Elephas maximus indicus: one gene and its partners. The protein of the gene in region 3 purifies or fractionates together with the protein of the main gene of each other region. This does not show direct contact. Links are inferred from orthologs where the notes say so. Each region holds a gene or a part of one and is shown on either strand. Other genes may lie near its edges.

Region 1 (8,079 bases), on a different chromosome or scaffold from region 3:
CTCTTCACAGAAATTGGACCCATGTCCTGCTTCATCTCTCGACATGTAAGTCTAGGCTCTTGGTGGAGGGTGGAGGGGGGTTAAGGAGGAGAGACATCTGTTCATGACTATCTATTGGAGCTTTTGTTTACACTGCTGACCCAGCCTGACCTTCTTTTCAGTCCATCCCATCAGAGATGGAGTTTGATCCTAACTCAAACCCACCGTGTTACAAGACAGTGGATGAGGTGAGTGGGTAGGTAGAGGCCGGTGAAAGAAGAGAGGCAAGAAGGAGCTACCCTGAGGGAGGGTATTGGCCTGGGGGTGGTGGCCGGAGTACACTGTTCTACCCTCTCTCCAGGACATTGTGATTCAGCAGGATGATGAGATCCGTCTGAAGATTGTGGGGACCCGTGTGGACAAGAATGACATAGTGAGTCTCTTGCCTGCCTCCCCGCCTGTACTGGGCAGAGCTGGGAGCTGTTGATTTCTTACCATCCAGAATGCCTGGGGTTTCTGGGCTCTTCTGCCAGGAAGAGAGGATGATGGGTGGGCAGAAGGCCTGGGGCTGGGAGGTAGGGGTGGGCTTTTGCTCTCCTTGGCTTCATTTCCATTTTACCTCCCCTCTTGCAGTTTGCTATTGGCTCCCTGATGGATGATTACCTGGGTAAGTGCCTGAGCTTGCATGCCGGGGCTGTTGCCTGAAAAGGGGTGTGGGGCCTGGGGAGGATATGGGGCTAATGCCTGAGTCACAGACATAGCAGCTTTCATGCTGTGTGCCCCTTCGAATGGGAAGTACACAGATGGGGCCCCCCAAGCTTGGGGCCCACTGATGTGCCTTTCCTGTTTTTACAGGACTTGTGAGCTGAGCACAGGGTCTTCCTACCTTGTTTGGTACTGATTTAGGAGGCGTGACTGTCACACTTTCCGTGTTGTCCAGAGGAGCGGCTGGCTGCTGTGGGGAAAGCAAGGAAGGTTCCTTGTCACCAGAGGACATCTGGGTCTACTTCTGGCTTAGCTGCCACTCCCAGAGTTTTTACTTTGTTTTTGAACCATAAAAGGTCCTTCATTCTCATGTAAGCGTTATCCCCTTCTTTGGTAGGAGCAACCACTCTTTTCGAAAGGCCCTGGGACTAAATGCTCCTTAGCTCCTTTTCTTTGGCCTTATGCTTCAACCAGCCTCAGCTACCCAGGGATCTGACTAGACCATTTGCCAAGGTCAGAAGTTGACCTCATTGAAAGCAAGATGCTAATGTTGGGTTGGCTTTCAGTCAATGATACCATTATTAGAGTCATTCTGAGTCCTAATCTTGTTCCAGAGTGTCCCCCCACCCTTAAAAATACCAAGGGTATAACTGGGAAAGAGAGAAGAGGGGATGGCAGGTAGAGAGGTGACAAGAATAATGACACAGATTTTGGGGTTCTAACACAGCTAGGATGGGTACATAAACGATAGAATTCTTTATTTGCTGGTTGATCATTTGTGAATTCCACTATACTAAACTGAATTGAAGATGTAAAAGGGCTTATCTCTAGTTACTCAACTCTAGTTATGAGTAACAACAAAAATCCATGAAATGACTGCACGATTAGGCAAACACACCCACCCTTTCTCCCACTAGGCCTTTGCAGTGCTATTTGTCCACCTCGGAATGCCCTTGCCCAACTTGCTAGCTGCTAATCTCTCAAATCTCAGTTCAATTGTTCTTGTTGTGCAGCTTTCCCTGACTTCCTTGGGAAGCAGAGCTGTGTGGTAGAAAGCATTGGATTTGGACTGAAACAGATTAGCTGGGTTACCGTATGTTTTCTGATTGTAAAGTAGCCATAAAACCACCTTTGGGTGGTTGCTGGGAGGCTCAGATCATATATGCAAGTGGGTAGCATACAGCCTGGCACATGATAGGCACTCAGCTGTTAATTATTATTATAAAATGCATATAAAAGAGTGATTCTCAGCCAGGGTGATTTTGGCCCTCCCCACCCCGGGGAGGGGGCACATTTGGCAGTGTCTAGAAACATTTTTGGTTGTTACAACTTCGAGGAGGGTGCTAATATCTTCTAGTGGGTAGAGGCCAGAGATGCTAGAAAACATCCTACAGTGCACAGGGCAGCCCCCCCCGCCCCCACAGTAAAGACTTATCTGGCTGCAAATGTCAAATATGCAGAGGTTTAGAAACCTGGATATAAAACATCTGCAGCAGTGTCTGGTATGTGGCGATATGTACTCAAACGTAGTTATTGTCCCCTGCCCTTTACCACCCCTGGGCAGACCGAGGCTCTTCCCTAAACATCCCATTCATACCTCTATAAAAAAAAAAATTTTTTTTTTTATAGTGTGTCACAAAACATGCTGTTGTCATTGCCTTCTCTTTCATTTTTTTCTTTATAATTTTTATTGTGCTTTAAGTGAAAGTTTACAAATCAAGTCAGTCTCTCACGCAAAAACTTTTATACACCTTGCCACATACTCCCAATTACTCTCCCCCTAATGAGACAGCCCGCTCCTTCCCTCCACTCTCTCTTTCCGTGTCCATTCATTTTTTTATTATGTAAAATTTTCTATTTTAAATTTTATTGCGATAATTACGGATTCATAGGTACCCCTTTCATTTTGTATCCCTCGCTCCCAGTTCGGGTAACAGAGGAACATTTCAGTGCTGGATTTGCAATGAATTTTCCAAAGGAAACAATGTTACAGTTGTGGTTGGCACCACTCTGCTGTAGTACCAGTTGATCGTACAGGGTTTGGAGATTTTCCCTAGACCCTAATTATGTTGTGTGTCACTGAGGGTAAAATTCTTCCCAAGTTCTCAAATGGAGCCACCCATTTATAAGTTGTGTAGGGGGTGACCTGGAAGTAACAGCAGGCCTAGAAGGAAGAGACTGATGGACAGAGAGGGGGTCATGGAGCCTGAGTGTAAAGGCACCATGAGGATTTGGGGGTGTGGCACCAAGAAGGTTGGCACAGAGTGGGGAAGGGAGCAGATGGGGCTGCAGATGGTCTCTAGGACTTCTGATCTTTTTAGGTTGGTACTAGAGGAGAATCTGAAAGTTACAGCCTCTTGAAGAGATCAAAGGCTAATAGTAACAGTAGTATGTGCCTGGCATCATGCTAAGCCTTTACAGAATTACCTTATAGAATCTTCACAAAGGTTCCATGAACTAACATGCCTAATGTCACACAGCTAGTGAATAACGGAGTTAGTGATTTTTTTTTTTTTTTTTTTAACTAAAGTCAGTCTGACTCTTGCCAGGCAATGAATGGCTAGCGGGTGAATGGTGGCCATCTTTCCCCCATTTGTGGCCAAATGGGTCTCACTACTACCTTCTCTGGCCCCTGCCTTCACTCATGTTGGGGGCAAATGAGCCCCAGACGGCTTGTACACAGCTTCACAGCGTTTGTCTTCCTCCCTCCATTGCTTCATGCCTCCAAGGTTGCCAATGGCAGTCCATACCAATAACACCTCAGGGAGGAGATCTGTCAACAGCCCAGAGCCTGCTGAGCTGGTCTCAGACCCACGGCCTTAGAGGAGGGCCCTTTCCCCTTTGCCTCCTCTTTATGCACAGGTGGGCAGGCACTCTAGTGTTCAAGCACAGAATACTGAACCCTCACCAAATGTCATTGTGGATGAGACTCAGCAGGGTCACAGTCTCCTCAGTGGTGTTGCCATGGCAATCCCAGCCACATCCATCCGGCCGTCCCTGCTCCGGTCCCAGAAGTTCTTTCGTATGGGCAACAGCGTCTAGCCCTCGAGTGGAGGAAGGAGAGGATGTGGACATTCATGCTCCCCTAAAGAAAGCTCCTTTCTATAATGAATAGCCCGCTGCAAAGGACCCCATCTGGGGTGAACATAAAGGAATCCACTGTCTCCTTTGTGATGTGTGAGGAAGGGAAAGCTCAACCAGCAACTCAGCCAGGTGCTTCCAGACATTTAATCCATAACAACCCCAGCATCATTACCCCATTTTGTAGCTGTGTAAAAAGTGATTGGATAGCCTGCCCAAAGTCAGTGTCAGGGTTTGATCCCAGGTCGGTCTGACTCTAAATACCATCCTTTATTCAGTAAATTTAATACTTGTCAATTAAGAACTGCCCAATCGCTGCTGTCGTAGTCAGAGTTCGGGAAAGATAGTGATTAACGTGTGTGTAAAACAGTCAAGGAATTCTGAGAGGCAGGTGAGGGTTTATACATGGTTCATTGGACAGGAGTGGGGAGGACGAGTTAGGATGCCAAATAAGCAGAGTTCCGGAGTCTGGTGCTGGCATGGGATGTTCGCCTTCTTCCCGCAGAGAACACCTACCCAAGCCTCATCCATCTTTTCACGAATAGGAAGTGGCAAGTGATGTTAGAGAGGTGGGCAAGAAACGAAGCCAGACACCAAAGCCCAAAGCTTCGCTGCAGTCGCGAAAATGCAAGTGCTAGGAAACTCGGGAGCAGGAAATGGTGATGCTTCCGTGGAGAATAGGCTTATTAAATGTACGCCGAAGCGCATACAGCCACTTGCACAACTAGCAAGTGCCGTAGCTCAGGGGCTAGGCGTTTCACCGTCACGTGACCCCGGCGCCCTGGGTCCTTACGGCGCGCTCACAGGGGCCAATCACGTGGCGAGAAGCCGCCTGGAGGGCGGGAACTTCGCACGGTGCCCGCCGATTGGTTGTGCTCATGGAGGGCGGGGCCCGGACACGGAGAGAGGGAATTAGTGTGGAGAACCGGGTGAGTGGGAGCAGCCGCCGTGTCGTAACCCCCTTCGCAGCGCCGGAGCCCTCAGGTGAGCAGCCTCTAACCCGGCCCAGGGGCTCCCCGTTCGCCACGGGGTGCGCACTCATCAGCCTTTGAGCCCGCTCCGCCTGGGGCCCGCCCGCTTCACCCACCACGTGACCCAGGTTCGGTGGCTCCTGACCCTCTTCCTGCCCCCTTCCCCGCCACCTCTAGGTCTGGGATGAGCAAGGCCCGTTGAGGTCAGCTCCCACGCCCCCTCGCTAGTGTGGCTAGTGGCCGAACCTGCGGAGGGCAGGAGGCTTGGTCACAGCCTGCACTTTGTGGGGTCGTAGTTTAATGTGGGCAGGAAGGAGGCCTGGTGGCCCAGTGGTTAAGCATAACCTGCTAACCAAAGGGTTGGCCGCTAGGACCCCTCAGCCGCTCTGTTGGAGAAAGATGTGGCAGCCTGCTTTGTGAAGATAAACCCAAACCAAAAAACCAAACCCGTTGCTGTCAAGTCGATTCCAACTTATAGCAACCCTGTAGGACGGAATAGAACTGCCCCATATGGTTTCCAAGGAACGCCTGGTGGATTTGAACTGCCGACCGTTTGGTTAGCAGCCATAGCTCTTAACCACTACTCCACCAGGGTTTCCTCGTCAAGATTACAGCCTTGGAAACCCTATGGGGCAGTTTTACTCTGTCTTGTAGAGTCGTAATGAGTCGGAATCAACTGGAGGGCAGTGGGTTTGGTTTTAATGTGAGTACGTAACTTCCTCTGCAGCTTTAGCGGGGGCAGGACTTAATGCTCCCATTTTACAGATGGGGGAACTGAAGCTTAACAAGTATCCATTGGCGGTTTAGGGTCACCAAGTGATGGGTCTCCAGCACCAAGACGGCAGATCGGCACCCTGTTCCCCACACCGCCAGCCACTCCTGTTATGGTGTAGTGTGATGATTAGGAACAAGGGTTTGAGCCCTTGCTCTCCACTTACTCAGCGCGCACCAGATGGTCTTGGAGGAGTCATTTAATCTTTCTGAGCTTTGATTTCCTTGGTTGTGAAATGGATACTTAAAAAAAAAAAAGTCACCCATGGTGTCCATTCAAATACGATTCCGACTCATGGCAACCCTGTGTGTGTCAGAGTAGAACTGTGCGTCAGTGTTCCCAGTGGCTGATTTTTCAGTTGTAGATCACCAGACATTTTTTCCACGGTTTCTCTGGGTGGACTCAAACTACCTACTTTTCGGTTAGCAGCCGAGCACTTAACCATTGCGCTACCAGGGCTCCTATAGAAATGAACATAAAATCCTTTGCAATAAGTCCATTCCGATTCATAGCAGCCATATGGGAAAGAATAGAACTGCCCTATAGGGTTTCCGAGGCTATAATCTTCATGGACCCATGGACGCAGCAGTCAAGAAATCAAATGATGTATTGCATGGGTCAAATCTGGTCCAAAAGCCCTCTACAAAGTGTTAAGATGCAAAGATGTCACTTTGAGGAGTAAGGTGTGCCTGACCCAAGTATGGTATTTTGAGTCTCCTCATATGATACAAAAGTTGAACAATGAATAAGGAAGATCAAAGAAGAATTGATGCATTTAAATTATGGTGTTGGTGAAGAATATTGAATATACTGTGGACTGCCAGAAGAACTAACAAATCTGTCTTGGAAGAAGTACAGCCAGAATGTTCCTTAGAAGCGAGGATGGTGAGACTTTGTCTCACATACTTTGGACATGATATCAGGAGGGGCCGGGCTCTGGAGAAGAGCATAATGCTTGGTAAACTAGAAGGCCAGTGAAAAAGAGGAAGACCCTCAGTGAGATGGATTGACACAGAGGCTGCAGCAACAGGTTCCAACGTGGCAATGATTGGGAGGATGACACAGGACCAGGCAGTGTTTTGTTCTGTTGTACATAGGGTTACCCTGAGTCAGAACTGACTTGATGGCATCTAATGGCAACAAATCTTTACGGAAGCAGACTGCTACATCTTTCTCCTGTGGAGTGGCTGGTGGGTTCGAACCGCCGACCTTTTGGTTAGCAGCTGTGTGCTTAACCACTCTGCCATCAGGGCTCCTTCCGAAATGGACATAGTACCCACAGAATACCTACCTCATGGTTAGGATCGAATAGGTAATCTATATAAAGCACTTAATGTTAGTGCCTGAGGCATAGTACAGGCTCAAAAAAAAAAAAAAAAAAAAACAAACAGTTCTTTAGTCGTTCTTGTAGCAAGTGTTCATTGAGGGTGTATCACGCACCGACCCTGTGCTAGATGCTGGGGATGCAAAGGTGAGCAAAGACATTGTCCTTGCCCGCATGCAGCTCACAGTCTAGTGAGGAGGCAGTTGTTAAAAGTTACGCCAAAACGGTCACGAAAGGAGAGACTGGAAGAAGGGAGCGGGCTGACTTCTTAGGGGGAGAGTAAATGGGAGTATGTAGTGAGGTGTATATAAGCTTATATGTGACAGACTGACTTGATTTGTAAACTTTCATTTAAAGCACAATAAAAATTATTAAAAAAAAAAAAAGAGAAAAGTGAACAGAGAGACAAGGGGACCTCATACCACCGAGAAAGTAGCGCCAGGAGCAGAGCTTGTCCTTTGGACCTGAGGTTCCTGTGCTGAGATGCTCCCAGACCAACGGAAGACTGATGCATCACAGGGACCTTCCTTCAGAGTCAACAGAGAGAGCCGGCACCCTGAATTCGGACTTCTAGCCTATTGGACTATGAAAGAATAAACTTCTCTTTGTTAAAGCCAAAAAAAAAAAAAAAAAGTTTTGCCAATTTATCATTACAAACTGGGATGACTGCTCTGAAGGCAAATGGAGCGACAGCGGGGGTCTGGGATGACTTCCTGAGAAAGTGACGTTTGAACTGACATCTGAAGGAGTGGGCGGGAGCTCACTAGACAAAGGAATTGGGGTGGAGGGCACAGAGGAGAGTGTTTCAAGCAGAGGAAATAGAACGCACAATGGTTCTGTGGAAACTAAAGGAGGCTACTGGTGTGAATGCAGACACAAGAGGGAAAGTGGTGAGACATGTTGGAGGAGCAGTCGGCAGCCCCTGCAGGCCTTGGGAGCCATGGTAATGATTTCTTCTTTATTCCAAAAGGCCATGGGGACCAGTGGGAGGAATGCTGCTGAGAAGCCAAGCAGGGTGGCCATTGGATTGAGCAACCTGGAGGTCATTAGTGACCCCAGTGAGCACTGCCAGTGGAATAGTGGGCGTAGCACCCTGAATGGGTCACCTTGCTACCCATGGATCTACCTCCTAAAGTGTGGCACCCATTGTTGGAGTCAGTCATCAGCTGCTGTTTTGGGTGGGTTCTGACTCTGCCATATCCTGTGGACAGATGAGCAGGTCTGTGTTTTCAGGCCTGCAGGCAAAC
Region 2 (7,602 bases), on a different chromosome or scaffold from region 3:
AGTCTTACCATGACCCTACAAGGCCAGGCCCCTGCTCCTTTCTCCCACTCCAATATTCCCTATCACTCAAGTGATCCAGCTGCGTGATAACTTTTCTGTTCCTCAAACATGCCTACCACAGGGCCTTTGCACTTGATCTCTGCCCATAATGCCATTTTCCTGACTCTCTACATAGCTGGTTTTCTCATCCTTGCCTCAGCTCAAAGGTCACCAGTATAGACAGGCCTTACCTGACAACTTTCTCTAGCGACCTCCTTCTACATCTCAATGCTTATGTATTTGTTTATTGGCTATCTCCCTTATCAGCTTGTTTGTTAACAGTAATTCCAGCATCTAAAATTGGCATACAGTAGTCACCCAAGAAATATTTGTTGAAGGAGTGGATAAATATGGCCCACAAGTCCCTGGAAGATCTGCTGCCCCTAGTGACCTCTCTACCCCAACTCCAGCCATATCAGCCTTCCATGCCTCAGACCCAACACACTCTCTTCCACAGCCAGCATACATGCTGTTCCCTTTGCCTGGAATATTCTTCATCACCTCTCTGCCTGATTAATTCAGGGCTCTACTTCTTCACATGTTATCAGGAAGGGTCAGTCCCTGGAGAAGGACATCACGCTTGGTAGAGCGTCAGCAAAAAAGAGACTCTTAATGAGATGGACTGACACAGTGAATGGGCTTAACCACAGCAATGATCGTGAGGATGGTGCAGGACCAGGTAGTGTTTCGTTCTATTGTACATAGGGTACGTAGCTGCTGACTCAACAGCACCGAACCAAAACAACAACTTCAGTGGGACCTTCCCTGATCCCCTTGACTAAAAAGTTCTCCATGTCATGTTTCCTTAGCAGCCCGGGTGCCTTCACACTCAGGCTTGTTTGTTCCATGTTAGGCTTTGCTGAGCCGTAAGCTCCACAAGGATGAGATCTATGTGTCTCTCTTGGTCATGCTGTAACCTCAAAGTCTCAACCAGAGCCAGCGTGTGGCTCAGTCTTTAGTGTTTATTGTCTGATGCTAACTGTGGAGACCAGACACATGCCCAAAAAGGTCACTACCACAGAGCAGCCCAGGTCAAGGGCGGAATGAATAATATAGTCCAGTTATAGAGAAGTTCGGTGTGAGAATGGCCATGAGTGGGGATGTGAGAAAGGATTTAGGTAAACAGGCAGGAATCAGGGAAGCTTCCTGGGGAGGTGCATAATCCTTAGGATAGGACATAGGGGGCACATGTAGGGACTAAGAAACAGAGGAACATCACTGGAGTAGAGAATTCCTGAAGGGGAGGATGGGAAACACAACTAGAAAGGTAAGTTGAGGCCACCCTGTGGAGGTTCCAGAAGCCCTGACTTCACTCCTTTGCTCCAGACCGAAGTTCAACCACCTTTTGAGATTCTCCACTAGCTGGTCCCACAGTAAGCCCAACATGACCCAAATTGAACTTGTCATCCTTCTGTACCCTAGTATCTACTCCTTGGAATTTCCCATCCTGGTTAAAAGAGGTTTTAGGGCCTCCCTGTTCTTTACCCCACATACTTCAATCACAAAAACCTGTTGCTTCTAAGCTATTCTCCATTACCACAGCCAGAGTGATACACTTAAAGTGCAAATCTGGTCAAATGCCCATGGGGCTGAAACCAACAAACTCCTCAGCACACCGCAAGTCTTGTGTGATCTGGCCTGCTCATCTCCAGCTACTCCCCCACCCACTCCAATGTACCAGCCAGTCCCCGACCTGATCCATACTTTTGAAACTTGCTATTTGGAATGCCTAGTGTCTTCTTAGGAGCCCTAGTAGTACAGTGGTGGAGCACTCAGTTGCTAATTCAAAGGTCAGCAGTTCAAAACCACCACCTGCTCTGCAGGGGGAAAGATGTGGCGGTCTGTACCTGTAAAGATTTACAGCCTTGGAAACCCTATAGGGCAGCTCTACTCTGTCCTACAGGGTCGCTGTAAGTTGGAATGACTTGATAGTACCCAAGAGCCTTCTTGGCTTGCCTTTAACCGTTTCAATGAGCCAGCTCAATCATCTCCCCAGCACAATCATCTTGCCTTCCCTGACCAACACTACTCTTAAATCACTATCTCTTCTGGCCACTTCTGTACCCTGTGTGTACCCCTCTTCTTATCACACCATTTTGCAATTATTTTTTTTATAGGTCTACCTACAAGGCTGTGAACTTCTTGGGAAATACAACTGTCTTATTTCATCTTTGTATCCCAGCACCTGGTGCACGGTGATAATAAGTTAAGATTTACTGAGCACTTACTCTGAGCCGGAGCCCTGGTGGCACGGTGGTTAAGAGTTTGGCTGCTAACCAAAGGGTCAGCCGCTCCTTGGAAATCCTATGGGGCAGTTCCACTCTGTCCTGTAGGGTGGCTGTGAGTCGGAATCCACTAGACCGCAACAGATTTTACACTGACCTAGGAATTTCACAGGTACGACTTTAGTCCTCACAACAAACTAATGAGATAGGTACTAGGTATTATCACATGCTCTGACAAAGAAGGAAGGTCTGGCACAGAAAGAGAACTGCCCAAGTCCACACACTAAAGGCAGATGTAAATTCAGATCTGACTCCTGGTCTTAACTATCTGGGAATAAATGTTTGCTTAAGACTAAAGAGCCAATGGTGCTCCCAAATAATGTGATTTAAAACTTTCTTCCCTTAATCTTATCTCCCCAGGAGAGAGGACTGTCAGACACCGGCTCCAGACACAGAGTAACGGAGATGGAAGCGCCACCCTACACATCTACTGCAGCTGTGAAGGGCCCTTTCGTCCAGGAGGTAAAGGGGGACGGTGAGGTGCCCGGACAGCGGACTTGGACACGCCCAGGGGAGTAGCACTGGGTGGGAGGATTGGTCTGGCCAGTGCCAGGCCGAGTGAGAGGTGGGGGTCCAGCGTGGGTTCCGGGAGCAGGAAAGGCGAGCAGGTGTGGGATCTAAATTAGGATGAGGGCAGGGAGGCGCTCCGCTCAGAAGGGCTCAGCTCGGCCCCCGCCCTCCGCGGAGGACCCTAATCTCGGCTGCTTGTAGAGTCGCAGGCCTGGGTAGAGCTGCCCAGAAACGGAGAGCGGAGGCTCGGACGACCCCGCTTCAGTCTCCTGGGTTTCCTGCCCTGAGGCCCTAATGCGTTCCACTTTAACTTCGGCCCCTTCAGAGTAGTGGCTGCACACTTCAGGGTAAACGCCGGCGAGGGGAAAGGGCCGGGAGCCCCGAGGAAAGGGCGGGGAATCCTGGGCCGGAAGGCGTCCCAGGCTCGGCTGGGAGCCGGCGCTCTCTTTCGACGCCACCCGCTGCCCCCGCCCCCGAGCCGGCCGGGACGGCACAACGTCTCCGCCTCCAGCGCACCGCGCACCTCACCTTGAACGCCGCTCCACCCACTGCCATCCTATTGGGCCGCCGGGGCCGAGGCGACATGACGATTGGCCGGACGGCCAGCGAAGGCCCCGCCCCTCTCCCCGCCCCCCTCCCCGTCCGCCGGTACTTTGGACGGCGGCGTGGCGCCCCTCCTCCCCGCCCGGTCCCCGCCCCCTGGAGCAAATGCTGCCGAGCTGCGGCCGCGGGGCAGATGCACGCGCTCGGGCCCTTCTAGCAGGCGCGAGCAGCCGCTGGGCGCGCGAAAGCGAAAGAAGGAAGAGGAAGGGAGGGCGGGGGCGGGGTGTTGAGGAGGGGCGGGAGGAGGAAGAGGAGGAGGTTGGAGCGCGCTCGCGCTTGGCCTCGCGCCCGCGCGGAGGGAGGGGGAGAGGGGCGCGCGCGCGCACGTTCGCGTTCTCGCTCGCTCCATCCATCCATCCTCCGGTCGCGGCACGCGCGCGCGCTCCGGGCTCGCGCCGCACCCCCCGCCCGGGAGAGGCGGGCTGGAGTGGGGGGCGGGGGGAGGGGCGCGCGGACGGCGCGCGGACTGCGCGCGGGCGGGGTGAGGTGAGGAGGAGGAGGCGGCGACGGGACGAGAAGGGAGGGGAAGGGGCCATGGCCGCCCGGTGAGGCGGCGAGGCGGGGGGGCAGCCCGACCCCCCGGCCCCGGGCCCTGGGCCCCGGGGAGAGGCGAGGACGGACCGACGGACATGGGGCTCCGGAGCAGCCGCCGCCGCCGCCGCCGCCGGAGGACGCGGCCCTGAGAGGCCGCCGGGCCCCGGCGCGGCCCCCCGGGCGGGGTGAGTACGGGACGGAGACGGGGACGGGGGAGGGGCCTGCGGGGGGCGGGGCCCGAGGCGGGGCTTGGGCCCCCTCCCCCCAGGTCTGGGTCAGCGCCCCTTCCCCTCCCCCCGGGCCGACGCGGAAACGCCCGGCTTCCCGGCCCGGCCCGGGCCCCCTGCTTTCCCCCTGTCTGGGTCCCCCTTGGGCGGGGCAGGGCCAGCCGGGGAGGGGGCGCGGGGCCTTTGTTAGGGAGCCAGGCCCCAGCCCCCCGGACAATAGAGACACCCTCCCGGACTCCCTCCCCGGCCGGCCGGAGCTGTCGGCGGGCAGGGAAGGAGAGGGGCCGGGACGCGTCCCACTCTGCCTACTCTCTGGGGGTCGGGCTGTCCCGGACCGGCGCTGGCCTCCGGCGGCTCGGCTCTCCTCCCCCCAGTCGGTATGATGCAGCAGCAGTGCCGCAGGGACGGGGGAAGAGCCGAGGCCCGGCCTCCTATCCTCCCCAGTGCCCCTGGCTCATTTGTCAATCCCCACCCCACTCTAGGCCAGCAGCTCCTCAAACTCGTACCCTCCGCTGAGAGGGGCCCCGGACTCGGGGCGTTGTTTCTGAATCCTTTGGTGGGGGTTCCTGGACTTTGAGGCTCTTAGAGAGACTTCCGGGCTGGTCCTGAGGGAGGGAGGGTGGTTATCTAAAAGAAGAACAGGTAAGGGGAGTGCCCACTCCTGGCATGCCATCCCACCGGGCCACCCCCCTCTTGCTCACAGTGGTTAGAAATGCCCCTTAGCACTGGGCTTCTGTGGGCTCTGTTCCCCTCCCTTAGTGGTAGGCTTATTTTAAGAGAAGGCAGAGTGGGGTGAAGGTTGTAGGGGCCTAGGACCATTTCTACTTCTGGTAGCAGTACCCCCCCAAGTGGACATCCCGGCTGAAAGCAGAGGTGACTCTGAGGAGAGCCTTTAGGGAAGGGGGGGGTGTATTTAGGAGTCTGTGCAGTTCTTTGCCACACCCTGTGGGTTTGCTTTGAGGCCTTAGAGTTCCTTCTCCTCCCCCTGCTGCATTGCACCATGGGTATCAAAGAGGGGTTTGAGTTTTGGGGACCTGGGGTGAGCTGCTGCCTCCTATAGAGCTAGATCTGATTGGCAGTAGATAAAGAGTCCAGAGCCTAAGCTCAGGCCTGGGAAGGACTAGGCCACCTTTGGGTTTCCAAGCCCTGGAGGACCATCCAGAATTAGTGAGCCTGGGCCTTGGGGTAGGAGAGACCCTGGTGCCAGGATTAAGCTATGGGCTTAGGTGGGAGGGGAGGTGGCAGTCTTCAGAGGTACCTTGGACTCATACCAACGCCCACCCCCCCATGTGTACAGCCGTGTTGCCGCCCGCTGTGCTATGAACAGTCAGAGTGCCGTCTCCACAAGAGTTTACAAATGAAAATGGAGGAAATGTCTTTGTCTGGCCTGGATAACAGCAAACTAGAGGTGAGGGCTCCCCCACGTGTGCCTCTAGTTCTTTCTCTTGATGTCTCTACGTCGCTATATCTGGCATCCACACCAAAGAGGAATTTGGGTAGTCAGCTTTGTTTCTTAAAGGGAATAGCCAGCCGAAAAGGCCCAAGGATCCGGGAAGAAGAAAGAACACAAAGTCAAGATGGGGAAAATGGCAAAGAAAGGATTATTTTTGGCCAGGGTGAGGTGGCAGGAGATTTAGTTGGTGAGAGTCACGACTAGTCCAGGGGGCTGTGACTCTTGTGACCGTGGATGTTCTCCCCTGGGACCCAGGCCATCGCTCAGGAGATATATGCGGACCTGGTCGAGGATTCTTGTTTGGGATTCTGCTTTGAGGTACACCGGGCTGTCAAGTGTGGCTACTTCTTCCTGGATGACACGGACCCTGAGAGCATGAAGGATTTTGGTGAGCTTCCGGGTCAAAGGAGAGCAGTCTAGCTTTGCCCTGGGAGTGCTGGAGCTTCCTTCTCCCGATGCTGCTGCACTAGATGTACACCCCGGAGCTGAGGCGGGGCATTTGAAGAGGCCTTAAGGCCACGGGTGGGGATAAGAGGGGAGGGTACCCTGCCCACCCTGATCGCTACGCCTCTCCTGTCCCCAGAGATTGTGGACCAGCCGGGATTGGACATCTTTGGACAGGTTTTCAACCAGTGGAAGAGCAAGGAGTGTGTTTGCCCCAATTGTAGCCGCAGCATTGCTGCCTCCCGCTTTGCTCCCCATCTGGAGAAGTGCCTGGGAATGGGTCGGAACAGCAGCCGCATCGCCAACCGCCGGTGAGGGTCACTTTCCCTACTCGAACCACAGTTGCTCCCCTTGTGCAGCCTGCACTATGATGTCGTTCTCAGCATTTGTAGGCTACAGAGGGTGGTTTGTACTCGGTCCTACGTGCTCTACTCTACCTCTGAAAGCGAGGGCAGAGGGGCCTTGACCCTTTTCCCTTCCCCACTCTTGGCAGGATTGCCAATAGCAACAATATGAACAAGTCTGAGAGTGACCAAGAGGATAACGATGACATCAATGACAACGACTGGTCCTATGGCTCGGAGAAGAAAGGTGTTTGGGGATGTGGGGAATCTTGGTGGGCTTTGAGGGGGATGTGGACAGGCAGTGATTGGGTATACGGCGGCAGTAAGTTTTTGTCTTGAATAATGGGGGGAAGAGTGAATTTTGCACTTTTCTTTATGTAGTCTTAGACTGGAAGCTGAAAATAACGGTATTCTTTATCATTTTGTTCTGTACAGCCAAGAAGAGAAAATCAGACAAGGTGAGAGCTGGGGCAAACATGAGGGAAATTGGGGCGAAGGACAGATACCCTCCCCTTTGGGCAGGGAGTCCTCTCAAGGGTATCTTGACTCAAGTCTAAGGTCACTGGGGGCCTTTCTGGGTTCGGGAGGAGGGTGTCTGTAGTGGGCAGGAGGGCAGCAGAGGCCTCGGGGAAGCGGAAGGGAATATGGGTAGGTGGGTCTTACTGGGGAGGAAGAGTAAGAATTTGAGGATGTTTCTTTGTCAAATCTTTTTTCCTTCCCTGGGTTCTCGGCTTCCCCTTATCGTTACCCTTTCCCCAAAGCTATGGTATCTCCCATTCCAGAACCCCAATTCCCCTCGAAGATCCAAGTCTTTAAAACACAAAAATGGTAAGTGGGCTAGAAAAACGGGAGTGCTTCAAGCTGTATCTTCTGGGACTCATTGCTGGGGGGTGGAGGTGGGGGCCTGGAGGAACAAGGGTATTGAGGGAGGGCCTATGATCCTTCTGTCACCCCCACTTCCTCTCTGGTTATTTTCAGGGTTCTCTGTCTGTACCTCTGCATCAAACACCCTTCCCCTTCTTTTTTCTTCTTCAGGGGAACTTAGCAATTCGGATCCTTTTAAGGTGAGTAAAGGCTGCCCCTCTTAGGCTCCCTTTCATTCTCTTTGTTGGAAGTTGATTGAGATTTGGGCAATTGGGGAAGCGAGCTATTTGTCAGGGAAT
Region 3 (8,022 bases):
ACAAAAACTCCCCTTTTCCACCTTCCTTCCACACCTGCTAACTATTAACAATCTTAGGTTTCTATGTGTTTGCTTATATTTCATATAAGCGAGATCATCCTTTTGTGACTTACTTTGCTCAGCACAGTGTTTTCAAGGTTCCTCCGTGTTGTGGCATGCACCAAGGCTTCATTTCTCTTTATGGCTGTATAATATTCCATTGTATGTATATACGACATTTGTTTATCCATTCATCTGTTAATGGGCATTTCTTTCAGCTGTTTCCACCAGTTTGCTATTGTTAAAAGTGTTGCAATGAACATTGGTGTACAGGTTTCTGTTTGCGCTCCTGTCTTTATTCATCTGGGTACATACCTAGGACTGCGATTGCTGGGTCATATGGTAGTTCTATGTTCAACTTTTGAACCATTTTCCACAGTGGAGGCACCATTCTACACTTCCACCGACAATGGATGAGTGTTCCAGTTTCTACAACCTCGCCAACACTTGTTTTCTCTTTTTTTTCAATCATTGCCATTCGAATAGGGGTGAGGTGATATCTCATTGCAGTTTTTATTTGTATCCCTCTCCCCCAACAGTTATTCTTTATCCCACTACCCTGATTTTATTTTACTTTCTTCATAGCATTCAGTCATTGCTAATCGAATGTATGTTTTTATTTGTTTACTTCTCTATTATTTGTCCACTAGAATGCAATGATTGGGTCTGGTTTAGTTACGGTGAAGGCAGTAGGATCTGGAGCCCTACTGCCTGAGTCCAAAGCTTGGTTCTGCCACTTGTTAGTTGCATAGGCTTCGATAAGTTATTTAGCCTCTCTGTGTCTCTCAGTTTCCTTTGTTAAAAATGGGATTAATAATGGTACCTACATTGTGGGAGTATTGTGGGGATTAAAAGACCAATTCTTATAAAGGCTTAACACTGTGCCTAGAACATTGTAACTGTTCAACAAACGTTAGTTATTATTATCAGTATTAATTGGGGAAGGAATCTTTTTTTTTAATTGTGCTTTAGGCGAATGTTTACAGAGCAAATTAGTTTCTCATTAAACAATTATTACACATATTGTTTTGTGACATTGGTTGCCAAACCCACAATGTGTCAACACTCTCACTCTCTTGACCTCAGGTTCCCCATTTCCAGTCGTTCAGGTTTCCTGTCCCTTCCTGCCTTCTTGTCTTTGCTTTTGGGCTGGCGTGCCCATTTAGTTTTGTATACGTGGTTGAACTGCGTGTGTTATCGTTTGCTTTGCTTTATAGGCCTGTCTAATCTTTGGCTGAAGGGTGATTGTCTTAGTTATCTAGGGCTGCTATAACAAACAGAAGTTTACTCTCTTACAAAATAGTAGACTAGAAGTCCGAATTCAGGGCACCAGCTCCAGGGCACCAGCTTCAGGGCACCAGCTCCAACTCCGCTCTAGAGGAAGATCCTTGTCATCAATCTCCCCCTGGTCTAGTAGCTTCTTAATGCAGAGACCCAGTCCAAAGGACGCACTCTGCTCCTGGTACTACTTTCTTGGTGATATGAGGTCTCCCTGTCTCTCTGATTGCTTCTGTCTTTTATATCTCAAAAGAGATTGATTTAAGACACAACCTAATCTTGTAGATTGAGTCCTGCCTCATCAACATAACTGCCTCTAATCCTGCCCCATTAACATCATAGAGGTAGGAGTTACAACACAGAAAAATCACATCAGATGCCAAAATTGTGGACAATCACACAGTACTGGGAATCATGGCCTAGCCAGATTGACACTTGACACTTATTTTAGGGGGACACAATTCAATCCATGACAGTGAACTTCACGAGTGACTTCAGTACTGAGTTAAAAAGGTATCTTGGGGTTTCTCCAGTCTCTGTCAGACCAGTAAGTCTGGTCTTTTTTTGTGAGTGTGAATTTTGTTCTACATTCTTCCCCTGCTCTGTCCCAGAAACTGTATTGTGATTTCTGTCAGAGTAGTTGGCGGTGGTAGCCAGGCACCATCTACTTGTGCTGGACTCAGTCTGGTGGAGGCTGTGGTAGCTGTGGCCCATTTGTCCTTTGGACTAATCTTTCCATTGTCTTTGGTTTTCTTCATTTTTGCTTGATCCAGACAGGGTGGGACCAGTAGATGTATCTTACATGGCCATCCAGAAATTTTAAGACCTCAGACACTACTCACCAGAGTAGGATGTAGAACATTTTCTTTATAAACTATGTTATGCCAATTGAGCTAGATGTGCAATTCAGAGGTCCATCGCCACGGGTCTGAATAAGTAAAATATGGGTGCCCACTATGAATATTGCACAGTCGTTCTAAGTAACAGGTTAGGTGTACCTACAACAAGAACAGGTCTTAAAAGTACTGTGCTGAGTGGAAAAAGTAAGAACTAGAATGAGGTTTATAGCACAATGCCATTTAGGTAAATTAAAAATACATGCACACTAAAGGAAGAAAGGAAGAATGAAGAAAACTAAAAATACAAGGGAAAGATTAGTCTAAAGGACTGATGGACCACATCTGTCACGGCCTCCACCAGTCTGAGTCCAGTACAACTAGATGGTGCCCAGCCACCACCACTGACTGCTCTTACAGGGATCACAATAGATGGTCCTGGACAGAGCTGGAGAAAAATGTAGAACAAAATTTTAACTCAAAAAGAAAGGGCAGACTTGCTGGCCTGACAGAGACTGGAGGAACCCTGAGAATACGGCCCCTAGACACCCTTTCAGCTCAGTAAGGAAGTCATTCCTGAGGTTCACCCTTCAGCCAAAGATTGGACAGCCCCATAGAACAAAATGAGACTAAAGGGGCACACTAGCTCAGGGGCAGGGACTAGAAGGCAGGAGGGGACAGGAAAGTTGGTAATAGGGAACCCAAGGTCAAGAAGGGAGACTGTTGACACATCCTGAGGTTGTTTACCAATGTCATAAAACAGTATGTGTCGTGTTTAATGAGAAGCTAGTTTGTTCTGTAAACCTTCATCTAAAGTACAATTAAAAAAAAAAATACATGCACACTCAACCATGCCCATGTTTCACAAGGATACACATGTACACTATTGGGGGAGGAGGGAAGAGTGGAGAAGGGATAGAAGGTTATTAAAACATAAAATGAGAGGGCCGTGCAGAGCCCAATGACGACAGTGCACCATGAAGTGAGAAATATGAGTGTCTCGACCTCTGTACCTGGATTAAAAAATAAAAATCTTTTGCAGTTATGCAGGCAAGGGCAGAGGCAGCATGAAATTGGGTGAATGTGGCAGAGGTGAAAAGTGGGTGAATTGTGTTACAGGAATGAATACCTGTAAAGCGTTTTCAATAGTGCCTGATACATAGTAAGTGCTCAACAAATGTAAGCAGATATTTTTAAATTGCAGACCCTTAGTGACAGATTAGATGTGGGAGGGGAGGAAAAGGGTGATGCCAAGGATCACTCCCAGGTGCTGGCTCCTGTCATTGTGCCCAGTAGGAGGTGAGGAAATGAAAACCGACGATAAATAATTCTTTTGAGAAATCTGGATGGAGCGGGGCGGGGGGCGGGGGTGGGGGGGGCGGAACAGAGCTATCCCTTCTGTGTGCAACACTCTAAAACACTGTTTTTTTTTTTAATTATCCAAGTAATACATGTTCATTATAGAAAAATTAGAGATTAAAGATACATCAGTTGCCATCAAGTGAATTCTGACTCACAGCAACCCCATGCGTTTCAGAGCAGAACTGTGCTCAGTAGTTTTCAAAGGCTGTGATTTTTCGGAAGGAGATCAGGTCTTTCTTCCGCAATGCGGCTGTGTGTATTCAAACCGTCATCCTTTCAGTTACTAGCCAAGTCCGGGGGCTAGAAATTAACGTTACATTAAAAAATGTATAATTGTGAGCCCCGAATTTCTCCTGATGAGTAACTGGGGGGGGGTCAATATTTAATCTTTAGGAGAGAAAGCCCCTGAGACCTTTACAAACACAAAATTTGCAAAGTCACTGCTAGTACAACCTTCATAAAATGTAGTATATAGAACTGAGACTGGTTAGATGCCATTTATTGAGATAGGGACTACAGGAAGAAAGCTTGATGGAGGAAAATCATATGTTAAGTTTTGGGCTGAAACGGCTGCAGAGTTGAAGTTTGAGATACTCTAATGAACAGAAAAGTATTTACTGAGGTCCTAAATTTTTTTTTTTATTATTATGTGCCAGGCACTGTGCTAGGTACTGGGAATACATAGGTAAGACAAATGATCCCGACCTCATGGAGCTGGCCAGTCCACCAAATAATCAAATATACATATCAAACTTTGGTAGAGGTTATATAAGAAATTACAAGACACTATGATATCCTTTGATAAAAATCTTTGTAGCTAAATGTTTGTTTGCCCAAACCCTTAATATCTTCCTGGGGAGAATTCCGTGTGATTTCTGGGTCTAAAAATATGCCCATTTATACATACATATATATGTGTTTAAATAGATGTTTTTGGGAATTGAGAGAGGACACTGAAAACACACAAGGACCCTGGTTTATTAAGATTCAGCTGAAGAATCGGAAATAGTGTGTCAAAGTAAAAACTACATTTCCCAAGGGACAGCACGGCACGTCACAAAAGGCCGGACCGCGCAAGCGCACGGGGGTCCTCCCGCTGCGCCTCGGTTCATGAAAGAGAAAAAAGCGCGTGTGAGGCTTGACGTGCGGCTAATCTTCGAACGCAAGTGCGTTATCTTCTGCGGACCCTGAAGAGGTGTTCAAGGACCGCGCCTGTTTCCCGCTGTCGCAATTTCCAGCGCGACGTGCTTGTTTCGTCAGTGACACGGTAGGTGGGATGGGTCGCGGTCTGGGACCTCCAGAGAATCGCAGCCGCAAAGGGCGGAGGTCCCCCTTGGCGTCTCCCCTCGGGCCCCGCCGAGGCGCTGCTGAGAGGGATGCGCACGCGCCCTGGGTAGGGAGGGGCGGGGCCGGGCGGTGGCACGCTCGGCTCGCCTTGGGGTCTGCGCCTGCGCCCTGGCGACCCCGGGAAGAGGGTGGGAAACGGCGGGTTGGGAGCTTCGCGAGGACGCTGGGTGGCGTCCGGCAGAGGGTGGGAGTGTGGTTGGAGGTGGGGTGTTCAGCTCAGGTGCGAGAAATATTGAGGATGGGCCCCGAACTCGAGCAGTATTTTTTTTTCTCAGAATGTACCCATCTTAATAACAAAATAACCTCAGCCACCTTCCGGATACGTCCAGTTATTTTATTTGCCTGCTCCCCTTTGTAGGCAAAGGTTTTGGTGTATACTCACTAGCACCTCTCCAGTCAGGCACCCCCCACCCCCCGCCCCATCTGCTGCCCTACAGGGTTGCAATGAGTTGGAATGGACTCAGTGGCAACGAGTTTTTGACTCCATTGAAATAGCTCTTATCAAAGCCACCAATGACCTCTAGTTAGCCAAATTCTGTGTTAAGTTAGTTGTCAATACTTAAGCATTCTTTGATGCAGTTGACCACTGCCCCTTCTTCATTTGTCTTCTGGAACATTCTCTTAGGCTCACCTCTCTCCGACCTCTCCTCTTTCGTCTGCTGTGTTTGTCTCATTCACTACTGTATATCGCTCATGCCTGGCATAGAGTAGGTGCTTGATAAATAATTACCGAAAGAGTGAAGAGGGGAAGTACCTCTTCTCTACAAGTGGCAAATAGAGAAACCCCTTAGAGTGTATTGGTAATGATTAATTTTTTTCTATTTTCCTGAGACGGGGGAGATGATTTTTGAAGAGCTCATCTCCAGAACAGTTGCCATATTCCAAAGTTGAGAGAATGTTCTAAGGGGTTTCCAGGGTTCTATTCAGTTGAGCAATCCATTTTGAGGACATAGTAGGTGCCAGGCACTGGGCTGGGTATTGGAATATAAAGATGAGTAAAAATCCATTCCTCTCCTGTAAAAGCTCAGGAGAAAGTCTGGTGGGAGAGACAAGGCCTTTCCAACAATCTTATTTGGGATGGGGGTTGGAAGACTGGAACTGTTCAGTGCAGCTTTTGTAGGTAGGGTTAGTAGGATTGTTGGAGAACTGCTGTCTAGGGTCTGAAGCAATATCTGGGCAGTGTTAGTAGAATGTCCATTTGATGAATACTTGGCTCAACCACTAGACACCCTGTTCTCAGTGGGTAGGTCCATTGGAGTCCATGGTTATTATGACCCTCTTCCTGGAGCTAGAAGTGGGGACATGTGATAAGGCAAAGGCTTTTTTTTTTTTTTTTCTGATTTTTAAATGTATGTGTAAAGATTCTTACAGAGCTTTTAAAAATAAATCTCATTTAGTTAGAAGTTTGATGAATCACCTGCATTGGAAAAAAATACTTAAGTTATGTCACTTCAGGATTTGTAGTCATTATAAGGTGCAAGTTCTAGAGCGTGGTTCTAGAATGGGTTTGAATCCCACTTCTGCCGTTTATTAGTTGCTTGACCTTTGTAAAGTTTCTCCAATACTCAAGTTTCTACAAATACTAATTTAATAGGAGTGTTGGGAGGATTAAGTAGAATAATTTACATAAAATTTACATAAAAACACTTAAACCAAACCCTTTGCCATCGGGTCTATTCCGACTCATAGTGACCCTATAGGACCGAGTAGAACTGCCCCATAAGGTTTCCAAGGCTGTAAATCTTTACAAAAGCAGACCTCCACGTCTTTCTCCCAAGGAGCGGCTGGTGGGTTCAAACTGCTGACCGAGCGCTTTAACCCCTATGCCACAAGGGCTGCTTAGTAAGGATTAGCTGTCATTATTACCTTGATTTTCCTACCTCTTTTTCTTCAGATGCCACAGTGACCACCACCTTACTGGTGATAATTTCTGTAATCTGTCAGTGTAATCGCAATAACAGTTTACAGGAGACACAGTGCTTCTACTTCCATGATCTCTGTGCTGAAATTTGGACATAACTTGCAATTAGTTGAAAGAGCATAGATTTTTAGCTTGCAGTCTTGCATTCCAGTCCCAACTCAACTGCCTGTATTTCCTAGCTGAGTTACCTAGCATAATTTAGCCTTTCTAACTTCAGTTTTCTACATGCTGATAGCTACCTATCTTATAAGACTGAAGTAAGATTTAAATGAGAAACTCCGTGTAAGCTCCAATGCAGAAGCAAGGCAGGTACTAAAAGCAGAAAAACGCATTGTTGATTCCAACTCATAACAACCCTATTGCACAGAGTTTCCAAGGAGCAGCTGGTGGATTCAGACTGCCCACCTTTTGGTTAGCAGCTGAGCTCTTAACCACTGCACCACCAGGACTCTATGGCAGGTACTAGGTATTGAAAAAAAAAAAAAAGTATTTTCTGTTCTCAACTTTTTTTTTTTTAAACAGTTGAATGTAGATTCTCATTATTAGTGACTGGATTGAGGGTGTGAAATCTGAGTGTAGAGTTTTAGGTGCCTCCTTTCTCTTTGACTCAGGACAAGGGCTCTGGGTTGTCACAAGCCTCGTGGGATTAATTTTAGATTGGTTTATGTACTGGATGTTTGGATTTGTTTATATGAAGCTTTGGCCACTAGTAAGTAGACAGATGGTCACCTTGGAGCCAGAGAACAATTTTAGGCTGGTGTTTAGCAGTTAATATATACAACCTTTGACATAAGAATAAACTGTAATTTTGTCCCTAAGAATAGCCCTAAGAATAGAACAGGCCCTGCCATTGAAAGTTCCTATTATTAGTCAAGGTTCTTAGTTACTTAGTAATAAAAAACTAACCCAAACTAGACTAAGCAGAAAAGGGGAATTTATTGACTCTGTAGGGTCGCTATGAGTCGGAATCGACTCGACAGCAGTGGGTTTGGTTTAGTTAGGGTTTAACTAAAGAGTTAGGGGCATTGGTGGCAGAAATCTCACCTTCCATGTGGGAGGCCGGAGTTCAGTTCCAGCCAGTGTACCTCGTGCGCCGTCTCCACCTGTCTGTCAGTGGAGGCTTGAGTGTTGCTGTGATGTTAAAGAAGTTTCAGCAGAGCTTCCACACTAGGGAGAAAGGCCTGACAATAAAAAAAAAAAAAAATTTTTTTTTTTTTTTTTGGACAATATACGTGAAAA

Evidence for each region. The genes of interacting proteins can lie anywhere in the genome.
Region 1: the proteins of SGF29 (region 3) and TAF6L purify together in Homo sapiens (affinity purification with mass spectrometry; 4 studies listed by BioGRID and IntAct, counting the BioPlex papers as one, with this or other methods). This does not show direct contact. The link is inferred for Elephas maximus indicus from reciprocal best matches to the Homo sapiens genes SGF29 and TAF6L.
Region 2: the proteins of SGF29 (region 3) and ATXN7L3 purify together in Homo sapiens (affinity purification with mass spectrometry; 8 studies listed by BioGRID and IntAct, counting the BioPlex papers as one, with this or other methods). This does not show direct contact. The link is inferred for Elephas maximus indicus from reciprocal best matches to the Homo sapiens genes SGF29 and ATXN7L3.

Annotation. Positions count from the first base shown.
Region 1 is NC_064825.1:125,925,055-125,933,133, forward strand, and holds the start of TAF6L (TAF6-like RNA polymerase II p300/CBP-associated factor-associated factor 65 kDa subunit 6L), read left to right. Parts: upstream 1-4,662; 5' UTR 4,663-4,749; intron 4,750-8,079. Other genes in the region: POLR2G (DNA-directed RNA polymerase II subunit RPB7), read left to right, coding at 1-45, 162-227, 341-412, 613-646, 835-848. UniProt on the Homo sapiens protein: Functions as a component of the PCAF complex. The PCAF complex is capable of efficiently acetylating histones in a nucleosomal context. The PCAF complex could be considered as the human version of the yeast SAGA complex.
Region 2 is NC_064837.1:50,721,824-50,729,425, reverse strand, and holds the start of ATXN7L3 (ataxin-7-like protein 3), read left to right. Parts: upstream 1-4,185; 5' UTR 4,186-5,414; coding exon 5,415-5,606; intron 5,607-5,906; coding exon 5,907-6,039; intron 6,040-6,234; coding exon 6,235-6,406; intron 6,407-6,588; coding exon 6,589-6,686; intron 6,687-6,874; coding exon 6,875-6,897; intron 6,898-7,200; coding exon 7,201-7,267; intron 7,268-7,417; coding exon 7,418-7,503; intron 7,504-7,602. UniProt on the Homo sapiens protein: Component of the transcription regulatory histone acetylation (HAT) complex SAGA, a multiprotein complex that activates transcription by remodeling chromatin and mediating histone acetylation and deubiquitination.
Region 3 is NC_064830.1:89,011,224-89,019,245, forward strand, and holds the start of SGF29 (SAGA-associated factor 29), read left to right. Parts: upstream 1-4,603; 5' UTR 4,604-4,782; intron 4,783-8,022. UniProt on the Homo sapiens protein: Chromatin reader component of some histone acetyltransferase (HAT) SAGA-type complexes like the TFTC-HAT, ATAC or STAGA complexes.